2 linked regions of the Xenopus tropicalis genome follow. The protein of the gene in region 1 binds, or shares a complex with, the protein of each later gene. Links are inferred from orthologs where the notes say so. Each region holds a gene or a part of one and is shown in the gene's direction. Other genes may lie near its edges.

Region 1 (6,943 bases):
TTTATTTACTCCTCTCTGTAATACAATTTTCCATCCCTATTTTAGCTTGGCTCATTAAAGCATACAAGTAAGCTATATAGCATTTAACAGTGAAACACTGTTTCCAGAACTGCAAGCACCTCTTGATTTTCCTCATGCATTTTTAAAGGAGAAGGAAAGGCTAAGTCACTTGGGGGTGCCGAAATTTTAGGCACCCCCAAGTGACTTAGATCGCTTACCTTTTAACCTGGGCTGGTGCCCCTGTTAGGAGAGAACAGCACCAGCCCGCGGTAGAAGCGAGTGCTTCCTATTCGCTTGCGTGCGCATGCGCAGTAGAGTGAAAAGCCGAACTTAAACAACAAAGTCGGCTTTTCACTCTACTGCGCATGCGCCGGCCGACGGATTTCGCAGAAGAAAGAGGAAGGAGGAAGCACTTCCTACAGGTACCCCGGGCTGGTGCTTTTTTCTCCTAACAGGGGCACCAGCCCAGGGTACGGGGTAAGCGATCTAAGTCACTTCGGGGTGCCTAACATTTTGGCACCCCCAAGTGACTTAGCCTTTCCTTCTCCTTTAAGCTAGTGTATTGCAATTGCTTTAGTAAATTGTGTATTGCAGTTGCTTTAATTCTCCATATGTTAGTACCTTGTTAGTGCCATAGTACCTTAAGCAGTTTAACAATGCTGACATTTTACAGATTCCTTTTGATTTATTTCAAATTTTTTTTTCCTTTATGTGGCAGATTCAACATTTTACCTCTCGGGTTCGAAACCTTTTTAGTGTTCTTAACTATGAATGGAATAGAAATTGCAGCCTAATTGGCTCATCTGTTTTTGGCATGGATGATATATACAAACAGTGGAAAAAATTTGTGCTAGATTTTGAAAAATCGAGAGCTGAAAAAGGCAAATTTTACTTTGTGAAGGTAAGTAAAAACAAACATCTTGTTAAATGTTCTCCCCATCATTAAACCTGTAAAGTTAATTCTTAATGATAATTGTTATTATATTAATAATGAATAGAACATACTTAAATGGTAGAGAGAGGAACTTTAGCTATCAATCTAGTTCTGAGCCAGCTACACTGTACAGAGTCAGTGCAGCTCTTCTCTTATAGAGGTAACAAGTAAATGATTGGCTGGGCTGTCATCACTAGTTTGACCTAGGAAACATCTGTATTTAACATTTTGTATTTGAGCAGACACAGTAACCAGGGCTCAGAATATTCACAGCAAAAGTTGAATTATGAGGTTGGGACACTGGTGTTTTTTCTATTTCAAATTTGTTTCCATTGGTATCAATTCACTTATAGGGCTTCCAGTGCTGCATATTGAAATACTTAAGTTATTCTGTGTTGAGAGTGCTATGTGAGTGGCGTTGCATCCAAGTCCTCATACTAAATATCATACACTTAGCGATCTATATTTGTCACTTGGTAATGTGAGAGAGTAACAGGTATATGTATATATTTTCCTTTTACATCCCTCCCTGTTTACAATGACATCAATTATCTAACCTCAGTTTCTTTGACAGAGTCTTGTGCTTGAGATGCACGGTAATGTCACTTGCCAGTCATTGGCTGTAGACCCTACGGTAGTCACATGTAAAAGCCAGTTTATCACTGAATAAAACTGTGCATGGATCCAATTAATTATCTTGAGAGAAGAATTATAGAGAGTATGTGTATAGCACTAGTAGCCTTTTATAGGAAATGTATCCTTCACAAGTATTCCTCATTCACTCAGCACAGCCAAACTGTTTTCCATGTACACACACAAATTTGGTGGTTTGATATAGCTACTTAATGAATCTATCAAACAGTATCAAGCACTTTGTTGTATAATATTGCTATATACTAACAGGAAACACAAATGTAATGTACTGCATTCTTTCTGATTTACAGTTTAATCTCTGTGCTGGAATTTTCTCTTTAGACAGATGTTAAGGGAGCATATGATACCATTCCACATTCAAAGCTCGATGAAGTGATCTTAAAAGTAATTAATCCAAATGCAAATGAAGTATATTGCATACGACGTTATGCCTCAGTTTCAGTGGATTCAACTGGACGCATTATAAAATCTTTCAAAAGACATGTAAGAACATATATATGAAAACTGTTACAACAGATTTAAATCAGAAGTTCTCCTGTAAATTAACTTGTAGTCTGTTAAAGTTGGAACTATTCTAAGAAACTTTTTAATCTTCACTAATTATATTGTATGGTGTTTGAATTATGAGTCTATATATTCTGCCTGTAAACAAGCCTTAAAATATGTTTCCCACTATAAATATGAGACGTGTTTAGTTTCAACCTGGCTTACCTAAAACAGGTAGGTAAAGTGCAAATTCTACATCTTGCTGAAAATACCTACTTTTGGCAATTTCTGTTTAAGGGTAGGAAATTACTATATATACTCGAGTATAAGCCTAGTTTTTCAGCACCCAAAATGTGCTGAAAAAAGTCACCCTCGGCTTATACTCGAGTCGGGTGCCATGGGTCCCTCTAGACTAGCACCCTCTGTCCTTTGTGTGCAAATTAGGCCACCCGCAACCAGACCCTCCAGTGCCCTGGCCTAGGCTCCCACTAGCATTACTTATTTCCCCTTACATCCCTCCGGGACTGGGTCTGCTGCCAGTTTGCCAATATGCAATGAGCGTGGGGTAGTACTCATATTGTTTTTGTTGACCCTATTCTCTAATTACAGAGCTAGTTTACTGTTTTTCTTTGAAATAAATATTGAAAAACATATACCCCACTGATGCCTCAATTAATGTAATTTTATTGGTTTTTATTTTGATTATTAAAACTTAGCAGTAGCTGCTGCATTTCCCACCCTAGGCTTATACTCGAGTCAATAAGTTTCTCCAGTTTTCTTAGGTAAAATTAGGTACCTCGGCTTATATTCGGATCGGCTTATATTCGGATCGGCTTATACTCGAGTATATACGGTACTTGTCCTTAAATAGGTACGACACTGACTAAGGCTGATTCTGACTTGTACAATACCTTTATAGAATTTGTATTTACTTTCTTTGCCTGTGTGGGTTTCCTCTCATGCATACAGGTATGTTAAAGGGTTCCTGTTAAAAATGACCATAGTATATAGTCTGTCAGTGCTTTCCAACTTCTGTGGCACTGAGGGCTGGAATGTTTCTGGCCTAAATGGTGGAGGGCTGTTAATGAAAGCAATTTGACCACTCCCCCTTTTTAAACCACACCCTCTTCAAACCACAACTATGTTATCGCAAAGTATACACAAACACACAAAAACACTTTTTTTTTTTTTTTACTTATTTATTTTATATTTTACCCCTTTGTCTTTGTTTTTTTCCTAAAAACTGTTTATTTTGACAGCCTGACTATTGGATCAGATATTCTGACCACTAATTACACTGTTGTGTGACTTATTTTGCTGTTTCACTAATTTGCACAATTTTTGTGGTTTTATTGCATTTTTATCCCTGTATAAGTGTTCCTGATCTGTTTTTTTAGCTTCTGGTTTTCTGGGGGTCTGTGTATAGTTAGGGGGGGGTTACGGCACATAATACGCTGTTAGGGGGCTCTGTATGCAAAAGCTTAGTAGGCAGGCGAGAAATCCATATGCGCTATTTTCATTTTGGGTTCAGTACACACCACAGACTTTGGTATATCTTTGCATATTGGGCATCAAACTGTTCAGTAGACCTCTGGTGTTCCTATTTGGGGTGATATGCCTTTGTACGCAAGAAATTGTGTGGGATAAAAGCAGCAAATTGCAACGTTTTTAGACGATTTTCTGAAATGTCATAAAAACCACTAACTTTAGGAAAGCTTTGCAGATTAGTACTTTGGTGTTGAAAAGACTCTTTACCCATGTTGGATTTCTCAGAATGTGTATTTTCCAAAAATATATGATTTTCTGGGGGGTCTCTGTATAGTTAGGGGGTGTTACGGCACATAATACACTGACGGGGCACTGTGTGCAAAAGCTGACTTGGCAGGCAAGAAATCCTTATGCGCTATTTTCATTTTGGGTTCAGTACACACCACAGACTTTGGTATATCTATGCATATTGGGCATCAAACTGTTCAGTAGACCTCTGGTATTGCTATTTGGGGTGATTTGCCTTTGTATGCAAGAAATTGTGTGATATGAAAGCGGCAAATTGCAACATTTTTAGACGATTTTCGGAAATGTCATAAAAACCACTAACTTTAGGAAAGCTTTGCAGATTGGTACTTTGGTTTAGAAAGGACTCTTTACCCTTGTTGGATTTGTCAGAATGTGTACTTTCCAAAAATATATGGTTTTCTGGGGTGAGCATAATTTTTTGTAGCTTTATCCCACATGAAATTATATAAATGTGTTGATTTTGCAGGAGCTGAAATAACAGAAATGATAGATCATATGGGGGTATGTTCACATTGGGGCCCCTACATGCCACATACTTAGGTAAACCTGCACATAATATAGAGTCATTGGACTATTTTGACAGCTGAGAAAATTCATATGCACTATTTTCATTTGGGTGCCTCTGTACACCACATATCTTTGCATATTGGGCACCAAACTGTTCATTATACCTCTGGCATTCATATTTAGGGTGATGTGTCATTGTATGTAAGAAATGTTGTAAGATAAATGTGGCAAATTGCAACATTTTTAGGCATTTTCCAGAAAAGTCATGACAGAAATGATAGCTTGCATGGGGTATGTTCACATTGGGGCCCCTACATGCCACATACTTAGGTAAACCTATACATATTGGGCATCAAACTGTTCAGTGGACCCCTGGCATTCAAATTTAGGGTGTTTTATCTTGGTACCTAATGCTATGTGGGAGATATGATGCTGCAAAATGGAAGCTTTCAGGGGATTTTTGGAAATGTCATCAAAATTGCCAAATTTAGGAAAGCTTGGTACTTTGGAATAGAAAGACATGGGGGATTTGGGGGGAATGTGTACTTTCCAAAAATATATGGCTTTCTGGGGTGAGCATAATTTTTTGTGGCTTTATCTCACATGAAATTATATAAATGTGTTGATTTTGCAGGAGCTGAAATGACAGAATTGATAGATCATATGGGGGTATGTTCACATTGGGGCTCCTACATGCCACATGCTTAGGTAAACCTATACATATTGGGTCTCAAACTGTTCAGTGGACCCCTGGAGTTCAAATTTAGGGTGTTTTATCTGGTTACTTTATGACCTGTAGGAGAAAAGGTACTATAGACTGGAAGCTTTGAAGCGATTTTTCAAAAAATTCACAAATTTTTATAAAAACCAATAACTTTAGGAAAGCATTGCAACTTGGTAGTTTGGAGTAGACAGACAGTTCTACCTACAGAATCTGTTCTTTCCAAAAATGTATAATTTTCTGGGTTAAACTTTCTGTTAGTGTAATTTTTGGCCTTGAAATATAACTTTTTTTGAAAAAAACAATATATAGTTTTCCTGGGTAAACTAAAAGTCCTTCCCCCCCCGGAAAGGCCCCTAAATTAAAAGAGTGCAAAATGTTCAAAAATGGTCTGGCAATACACGTTTCGCTTTGACCAAAATGGCTGGCAGTAAAAGGGTTAAGAAATAAACCCAGACGTCAGACCCAGAACAAAAGAAATGGACTATACCTATAATAATGGCTAGGCGAGAGTCCAACCCCCCCACCCTAACCCCCTATCCGACCTCAACTTTACTTTTTCTATCTTCCCCCCCCACACACGTTTTATTTGTAACCTACCTTGTTGAAAAACAAACAATAAAAAAAAAGTTAAAAAAAATAAATCTATTAAGCCAAAGCCTGCCTAGCAGTATGAAACAACCTTAAATGATGCCAGTATCTCAGAACACACTTAAAATAGGGTTACAAACCACTGTAAATTGAAATGTAGAACCCTTGAAAAAAACAGAGTCTTAAGAAAATCTGTTTTTTATGTTTTGACCTAAACACTGCAAAAAGTAATGTAGGTATGTATGTTATGTATTTTTTTCTCCTTAAGGTATCTGCATTAGCAGATGTTCTTCCAAATATGAAACAGTTTGTTTCAAAGCAACAAGAAAAGAACTTGACACGTAACACAATTCTAGTGGAACAGGTAATGTTTTAAGTATTTTTTTTTTTAATTATTTTGGCTCAACAGTTGTTCTTGTTAAAGGGATACGGTCATGATTTTATGTTGTTTTTTAATAACTAAATTACACTGTGTACATAGCAAATCACTAAATTACACTGTGTACATAGCAAATCATGCACTCTACCATTTACAATTTTATTTTTGAACCAATAAATGTATTGTTTTTTAGTTGTAATATTGACGTGTAGGCAGCCATCTCAGTGCATTTTGTCTGATTCTGAGCTTTCGGAAAGAGCCAAAACTACACAATGCATCAGCTTTAAGGCAGCTATTGTGTCTCTTATTCAGTGGTATCTGGAAAAGTCATAAAGTTGTGGTTCTATTTCTCCTGCTTTGGTGCTGTTCTCAAATCTGCCATTGGTTGGGGCACAGGAGCATTTTGGGGGGCTAAAGTCGCCACTCCATTTCACTGTATATTCCATACCACTACCTTCTGCTTCTCACTGTTGTATGTAAATTGAAGCTGCCTGACACAGCAAGTACTGTCTATTCTTACCCTAAAAACATACATTAAACTTAGAGCATTTTTATGCACATAATTACACACTAACAAAAACTCTAACAAAACTCCCAGAACAAACCCCTGCCAGGTTCCCCTCCCACAGGCAGCATAGGGCAGGCAGAGTATGGCACACACAGGCAGCATAGAGTACTGCCTGTGTGTGCCATATTCTGCCTACCTACCCTGCCTGTGCCTGCTATACGTTGCTGTGTGTGCATACTCTGCCTGCCCTATGCTGCCTGTGTGTGCCATACACGCAGGCAGCATAGGGCAGGCAGTGCATACAATGACACAATGCTGATGCTGCTCCTACAGTCTGTATGAGGTGAGAACAGATGAACAATGTGG
Region 2 (7,456 bases), on another chromosome or scaffold:
TTACAATCGTTCAATCCGAAAATCTTGTTACTTTCGGATTGCAACCACATTGTTTTCTTATGACCAGGAAAATAATTTGTCACATTTTTGAACATCAGAAATGATCATGGTTACTCCAAATTTTTTCCAGTTAAATTAATGCTTTAATGAATGGGCCCCTAAATGCTCCAATATAATCTAGCCAGTGGAGTAACTATTGAGGAAGCAGACCCACCAGATGGGGGGGGGGGACAGACCATGGGGTCTGCTTCCTCTATAGCCTCTCTTTTCCCAGGAAAGTGTGCGCACCCCCTGCAAACTATCAGAGAAGGCGGCGGGTAAGCAGCTGTACACACCAGGACCCTCTGAAGATTCTTGTTATGCTAACACCTGGCATTCTATGGAAATGCATTGTGAAATTTGGATGGCAGTGAAAGCGTTAAAATTCCAAATCCTCCCTCACATTATTTTTGTTTTGTTATTTCTTGAGTGGTATTTTAAATAACTCTCTAACCGCCCTCCAAATAGTTTCTGCTCTTGGAGGTTTTGTTATTTCTCTTCCTATATGCTATGCTGTCCTCCATCCTGTGCAAGCTTTCCCAAATGGGCTCATATTGCAAAATCTTCATGTGTCCATAGCGCACAGATACCTGGAGAAAATGTGTGAGCCTGAATTCAAAGCCATGCGTGATTGTTGTTCCAAGTACACAGCCCATCGCTCAGTGTGTTGTTCTGGATTCCAGCATGAAGGGGCTTCAACATCTGAAGACCAGTTAGTCCAGAAGACCGCACAGGAAGCAGACTGTAATAATGGATGTAAAACAAAACAATGACATGGATAAATAAAATTCTAAAGCAAGTTAAGCTGCAAATTCAAAATCTCTTTTTTAGAAAGTATTTACATCAATTGAAAACATGTCACCTCAGCATGACTGAATGAATTCTTAATGAAAGAGATCAGTGCTGCACTGCACATACTTTGCAGCTTTTAAAGCGCCAGGTGCAAGATGTAAACTCTGCTGCAAAAGGTGGCTAATGACAGAAATTGCTGGGAGTGCTGGGTGAAATGATGGAGTAAGAAGCAATTACTGACTACTGGGTGTTTTCTGAGGTTACCTGGCTGACTGAGGTAAACTGCTTTTTTCCTTTGTGTGTGAAGTGAGAAAGTAGCGTAACTTGGTTGCACTAGGTCCCCCTGCAATAAAAAGTCCCTCCTCCCCTCACGGCTCACTGGTGCCATGCCTCCTCCACCACTCTACTATTTTAAATGTGAGGAGAGGGGCCGGGAAGGGGGGACTACTGCACAGCTGACTCTGCAATCTGCTGTAAATATAGTTACACCGCTGCTTGTGGATAAATTAGTTTAGTACACTTATTTTGTCTGGTGGATTAGTTACTAAGGGGCACATTTATTAAAGTTGAATCTTACTAAAGTTAGAGAAGTTTTGTGCACTAAATTCTAAAACTTAACTTTTAATAATCATTTTAAAATAAATTAATTAACCACAAAGGGATGACCATTAAAATCAATTAGAAAAAAAACTAAATCATGGTGGTGGGGTAAATTGTGGATCTCTTAGTTTAAGAGTACCACTGAATACCTCCACAAGCATCCACAAAAGCTGTCAAATAATGTAAGTTAGTATCTAAATTAGTGTAAGTGTTGTGTCTAACATCCCACTTTTAACTGTATTAGTGGGCATCAGTCAAATGTGCCATTGTAACTAAAGTCCAGAAAATTAGGGTAGTGATTCCAAAATAAGGACAAATGTGGCTTAAAAATAGAAGCAGTACTTTAACCCTCAATTCACTGCATTACAGCTTTTTAACCCATCCACACTGCAGAGCTCCCAGTAGCCACAAACACCTTAGGTTGGATCATGAAAAATTGTTACAGTTGTTGTCACACTATGCAAACAATCTCATATTAAAGATGTTTATTCGAACCTTGAATACATTTACTGAAGAAAATGAGTTAAGTTTGAAACATTCCTTACAAGGACACAAAACGCATGGTGGAATACTGCCAGGGACAGATAATAGGACCAGTGTCGGACTGGGGGTTGCAGGGCCGGCCATGTCCCCTAACCGCCCGCAGGGTCCCCCACCCGACGTCCTCCCCGAGCGCGCATAAATTTAATGCGTCAGGGGAGGAACAGTCGGCCGGGGAGCGCCGGCAAGGGTCGGGTCTGGGCTGCAGGGGCTTACTAGGCCCACTGGGAATTTCCTGTTGCCCAGTCCAACCCTGAATAGGACCAAGTTTATGAACTTGTTGCATGAAGATTTATGTCAAAGTTTGTTGAGCCAACCAGAAATTATGCTGTACTGGATCTAGTGGTCTTGAATGACCCTAAACAGTTGGTTGAACCTCTGGGTAACAGTGACCATAATGGTATTTAAAGTTTGTTGCAAAAACCACAAATATACTCAAGGGCAGGATTTCAGAACCTAGATTGGGGCATTATGTTTGCTGCTAATTACACAGAAGAGAAATGGTTGTGGTACAATCTCAGTAAGCTACTAAAATTCCTCTGTGCATTAAGAGTGACCCAGTTGGCCAGGGTCTTTCAGTACTAGTACCTGACACCTTCACAGGTAATAAGGGGGTTGAGCTCTCTCTCTATATAGATTGAAGCAAATCCAATTACATTTTATCAGGATATATGTAGTACACAGGATCAGGTCTGTTGATTTCATATATTAAAACATAAAGCTTCTGCTACTGTTTCTAACAGATCGCTATATGAAATAGTATAGTAGTCAGGCTGGAATCAAACTGAGGAGCCCAGCGCTGCAAGTCGGGGTTGTTGGCTTCACATCCCTGATAGGTAAAGAGAATAAGACTGTGTGTCTGTACACGTGTTGCTTGTCCTGTCCCACTGTTCCCTCTCTAAGGGCTATCTATCAGCGCAAATACCCTCTGTAACATCCAAACACTGCCCGCAGCCACATATTTATTATAAGTGTATCTGCCCTATGATTCCCTGCTGCGGAATGTTTTATATTCGAAGAACAGCCAGCTAAACCAAATAAGCACACACGCTCTTCGCATTTTGAACATGGCGCATTAACAGGCGGCCTCCCCCACACAAGTGGCAGAGACGTAACAGAGAGAGATGCCATAGGCTGTCGGTCAGTGCCATGTGATGCGCCCCTAGCAGGAAGGGGCGGGCGCCCCAGGGGTAGCTCCTCCCATGTGCTATATCCGGTTAGTGCTCTCACTATTCGGCCTCACTCACCGCGTGTTACAGGAGAGAGAGAGGACATGGCGGACGGGGAGGGTGAGCAGTTTCTGCAGATGACTTCCATGCAGTTTGCAGTTTGAATGTGCCCAGCGCCGTAGCTGCACATTTCATTTCGTTGCCTTGTTTTTAATTTTGCTTTTTCTCACTTTTAGGTTCCAAAAAGAAGGCGAAAAAGCGTCGCAGTCAGATTCTCGGAGCAGAGGACGTGGCAGTGAGTCCCCCCTCTAATATAATAAATAGTAATACTGTGCAATGGTTATTCAGGGAGGTTCTGTATGCGCACTGAGCAGGTCTGTCTGGGTCGGTTCTGATTTCCTGTACTGGCCCATAGGCGGAAGGCTTGCAAAGCATGGCCAACACTGGCCGCCATTAAATACGGGATTGCAATATAGAAAGCGATAACTTTAGAAAACGCAGAAATAACACCATGTGAAAGAGGCAATTTAATGGCAACTTCTTTATTTTGATCCTGGCTGTTTTGCTACATTTATCTGAGGGGGGCCCTTCAATTAGAAATGCCACGTATTGAATCTGAACCTTAATTTGGGGATTGAAAGTTGAGGGAAAATAAAGTTTTACACGAGTTTCAAAGTCCTAAGAGTTGGAGGCCTCTGATGTGGGTTGGCAGTTAGGTCTTGGACAAATCCTATGGTCTGTGGACCCCTACTTTTATAAGGGAGTTGTCTGAAAAAACCTAGTGGTTTCAACCAATGAAATAAGCTGTCTTTGGTGCAAATGTGACCAAAAGTGTGGAGTGTTAAAGGGCAATGAAATGCACAGATGCCTCTTTTATAAATTACTCAATTACCCCTCCAACTATATTAAGTGCCCCTTCATCATTTGCCCAGTTTTCCCATTAGAATGCAGAGTAGTGTTGAAGGGTTAGGGACAGCCATGCCATATTCATTGTGCAAGTGTCCCTCAGGTTAAATGTGGAGGAGAATTTGCACTGGAAGCTGCTCTGGTCCTGTTTTCCAGTGAACAGAAATCGGTAATGCAGAGCCTGCACACCAGAAGTAATGTGGCTGGTCATAGTGGCTGCCAGCCCTGTTCTTCTAGATTTTCAACCCATTTATAGAACAAGGAGGCAGTCAGTGGGAGAACACTTAAAAAATCCTTCCTTTTTAACAGCATCAAGGGGGCAACACGTGTTTAAAAAAAAAAATGTAGGTGTGGCTTCCTTGCCCTCTAAGGGCAGTTGGTACACAGTCTCAAATATTTGCGGCAGCTGCAACAGGCATTGAGGAAGCTGCAACAGGCACTGGCCACTCTGTTACGGACATGGGTATTGCTTAATAATGCAGTTATTTAACAAAACAGTGTATGAAAGGTGCAGATTATTAAGATTCCATTTGGCCAGGTAATGCAAAATAAAAACCAAGGAAACTTTTCAGGGGTCTGACAATAGTGTATTGCTTCTCTGTGCTTGATGGAACTATCCTTTTGCTGAAGTGTTAGTACCATGTAACAAGGGATTAACAGCAGAAAGTGTACTAGGTTGGTTGGTCCACTTAATAGAGCATCTCCTATGATGTCATTGATGAATTAAGATAATACGGGAATCTCATATTAACTCCTTTCCTCCTCTTGCAGGATATTCAACATGAGGGAGACTTTCTAATCAAACCTGAATCTAAAGTGGCTCAGCTAGACACATCTCAATGGCCTTTACTTCTCAAGGTCTGTATGTGGCAAGGATGAAGCTATCAATATTTATTGGAAATTAATTGGAGACATGGCACTCTGTATCAATATGTTGTATGTTTTTGCATTTCTTTTTAGACTTGTGGCATATGATCTTTATAAATGTGTTAATGAATAACCCTGTTTCTTCAGTGATATCTTTTACAGTGCTAGAAATATTTACCCCAATCATACTACATCCCCCTACTGCTATGCACATAAAATTTACATTAGCTAGAGTTAAGCTTATACCATACTTTATCAATATGTTTGTTCTTTCCCTTAGAACTTTGATAAATTAAACATCCGAACAGCTCATTACACTCCTATTCCATCTGGTTCCAACCCACTGAAAAGAGAGATTTCTGAATATATTAAGTAAGTCAAGGGTGTTTTTTCAATCAACATACTGTTTGCTTACAGTGCTATTGGGGTTTAAGAGTGAATCATTTTTATTTACTGCTCATTGTCTAGCAAATTCCATGCCTTGGTAAGGCATGTAAAAAGCCAGTTAGTAGTCCTTTTTCTTTCGGCAATCTGGAGGTGGTGTCATAGAAGGACACCACTTCAAATATTCTCTAATACAAATCTCTATGGAATAATATATATGCTAATAGGTTATAAACATCAGCCTGAATAGTGTGTGGTTTTTGTTTGTTTTTTTATACTTTATAATTTCAGTACCTGCTTGGATAAGGTGTAGGTATTGCTTCCACAGTCATTTATTCTCTCTCAGAACAGGGTTTATTAACTTGGATAAACCTGCTAATCCTTCATCACATGAGGTTGTAGCATGGATAAGGCGTATTTTAAGATCGGAGAAAACTGGTCACAGTGGGACCCTGGATCCGAAAGTAACAGGCTGTTTGATTGTCTGCATTGATCGCGCAACACGACTTGTAAAGTCGCAACAGAGTGCAGGTGAGTCCCGTCCTGAAACAAGATATAAATTACACCTTATGTTAAGATGAAGAGACTTGCTTATTTCAAAGATGTACTGTACACGGCATGCACAGGGACTGATGGTCCAAAGAAAACCAAATTGGGCCATGCAAATTCTCTTGAGAAATGCTCTTGGCTAGTAGGAGTAGGATTTTAAATTGTATTGCTTAAATTTTTTAATTACCAGTTCTGGTATATTTCAACAAGTAGGCAGGATGTATTTATTGGTCTACTGTTGCTGAAAGCAAACTTTAGAAGAAACTTACTCATACTCCTGGCTTTTAATAATACAGCAGGACTATGGTTGATTTTTTCTGTAGGTAATGGCTGAACATGTGATGTATAGTTGAAACATAAACCATTGGCACATTTACTGATATAACTGCTTCAGTATAGAGTCAGGTTAGAAGTGCAAACTAAGGGTGACATTTATAGAAGTTTTTGAGACCAAAAACCTAAATTAGATAAATATGAAGGGATATTAAGTAGTGACTCTTAAAATGTCACTAGTAGGGACTGAAGATGGCATCTTACTTTGCGTTGACACCTATTCATGTGTCATTCGCCCTCTGCTGTTCATATTAACTGGCTGCCCCCATTTTGCTCTGTCCCCTCTAGGGAAAGAGTATGTGGGAATTGTACGGTTGCACAATGCGTTGGAGAACGAACTACAACTTTCACGGGTAAGGTAATGGTCTACCTTAAATTGGCTGCCAGACCTATTCCCAAATTATGTCCCAATATATGAGATTTCATGTTTGCCACACAATCAATGCAGCATGAGCACAAGACAAGTTTGAACATCAATTTTCCCCATTACTTTATCTAAAGCAAGATGGTGGCTATAGATTTCTGTTAACTTATGTCTCCTTTTTGCTAGTGGCAAATCAGTAAACAAACCAGCCTCCTAGCAAAGGTGCACTATGCAAGTTTCCTATGTTTAATGCTCGGCCAACTTTTATTCTTACTGTCCTCAGGCTTTGGAGACACTCACTGGTGCATTATTCCAGCGTCCACCTTTAATAGCTGCTGTTAAGAGGCAGTTGCGTGTAAGAACAATCTACGAGAGCAAACTAATAGAATATGACCCTGAACGTCGGCTAGGTGAGTTACTGGTCAGGTTGTCCTCAGACTTTAAATGCTATAAAAGTAGGTATTTCATGTGCGTTTAAGCAGTTAATACAAGGTGTAATGGCTTATAAGGTGTATTATGGTTTGTTAAATTTAAAATGAGATGTTGAAATGCCTTCTGGAGGTGTACTGGGAAGATATACTGTGTTCAGTCTGTATTTGAGGCACCTGTTGTGGGCCATTGAAATTTTAGAATGTATGAACACTATTTTTGCTCTGATACGGATACTTTTGATACTGGTGTGGAATTGCTCAAGGTGTCAAGAGCTATAATATTGCTTATGCTTGCAAAAGCTTTATGTACATGCTTGGGCTATGTAGAATGCAAGGTACATGACTGCTCTGATGTCTAAATACAAAATAGACCATGCCCTGTGCATAAACAGATGATGATATCTTTTTATTTAAAGGCAGCAAAGCCACTTTAACAAATGAAAGGTGGGCTCATGTTCATTGGAACAGCTTTACTGCTTTAG

What was found. The genes of interacting proteins can lie anywhere in the genome.
Region 2: tert (region 1) and dkc1 share a complex: the UniProt entries of both Homo sapiens proteins name them as parts of the telomerase holoenzyme complex. The link is inferred for Xenopus tropicalis from reciprocal best matches to the Homo sapiens genes TERT and DKC1.

Annotation. Positions count from the first base shown.
Region 1 is NC_030682.2:58,808,906-58,815,848, reverse strand, and holds part of tert (telomerase reverse transcriptase), read left to right. Parts: intron 1-718; coding exon 719-901; intron 902-1,909; coding exon 1,910-2,071; intron 2,072-5,958; coding exon 5,959-6,054; intron 6,055-6,943. UniProt on the Homo sapiens protein: Telomerase is a ribonucleoprotein enzyme essential for the replication of chromosome termini in most eukaryotes. Active in progenitor and cancer cells. Inactive, or very low activity, in normal somatic cells.
Region 2 is NC_030684.2:38,916,951-38,924,406, forward strand, and holds the start of dkc1 (H/ACA ribonucleoprotein complex subunit DKC1), read left to right. Parts: upstream 1-3,149; 5' UTR 3,150-3,244; coding exon 3,245-3,260; intron 3,261-3,376; coding exon 3,377-3,435; intron 3,436-4,817; coding exon 4,818-4,904; intron 4,905-5,193; coding exon 5,194-5,285; intron 5,286-5,643; coding exon 5,644-5,828; intron 5,829-6,467; coding exon 6,468-6,532; intron 6,533-6,826; coding exon 6,827-6,953; intron 6,954-7,456. Other genes in the region: cmc4 (cx9C motif-containing protein 4), read left to right, coding at 619-812.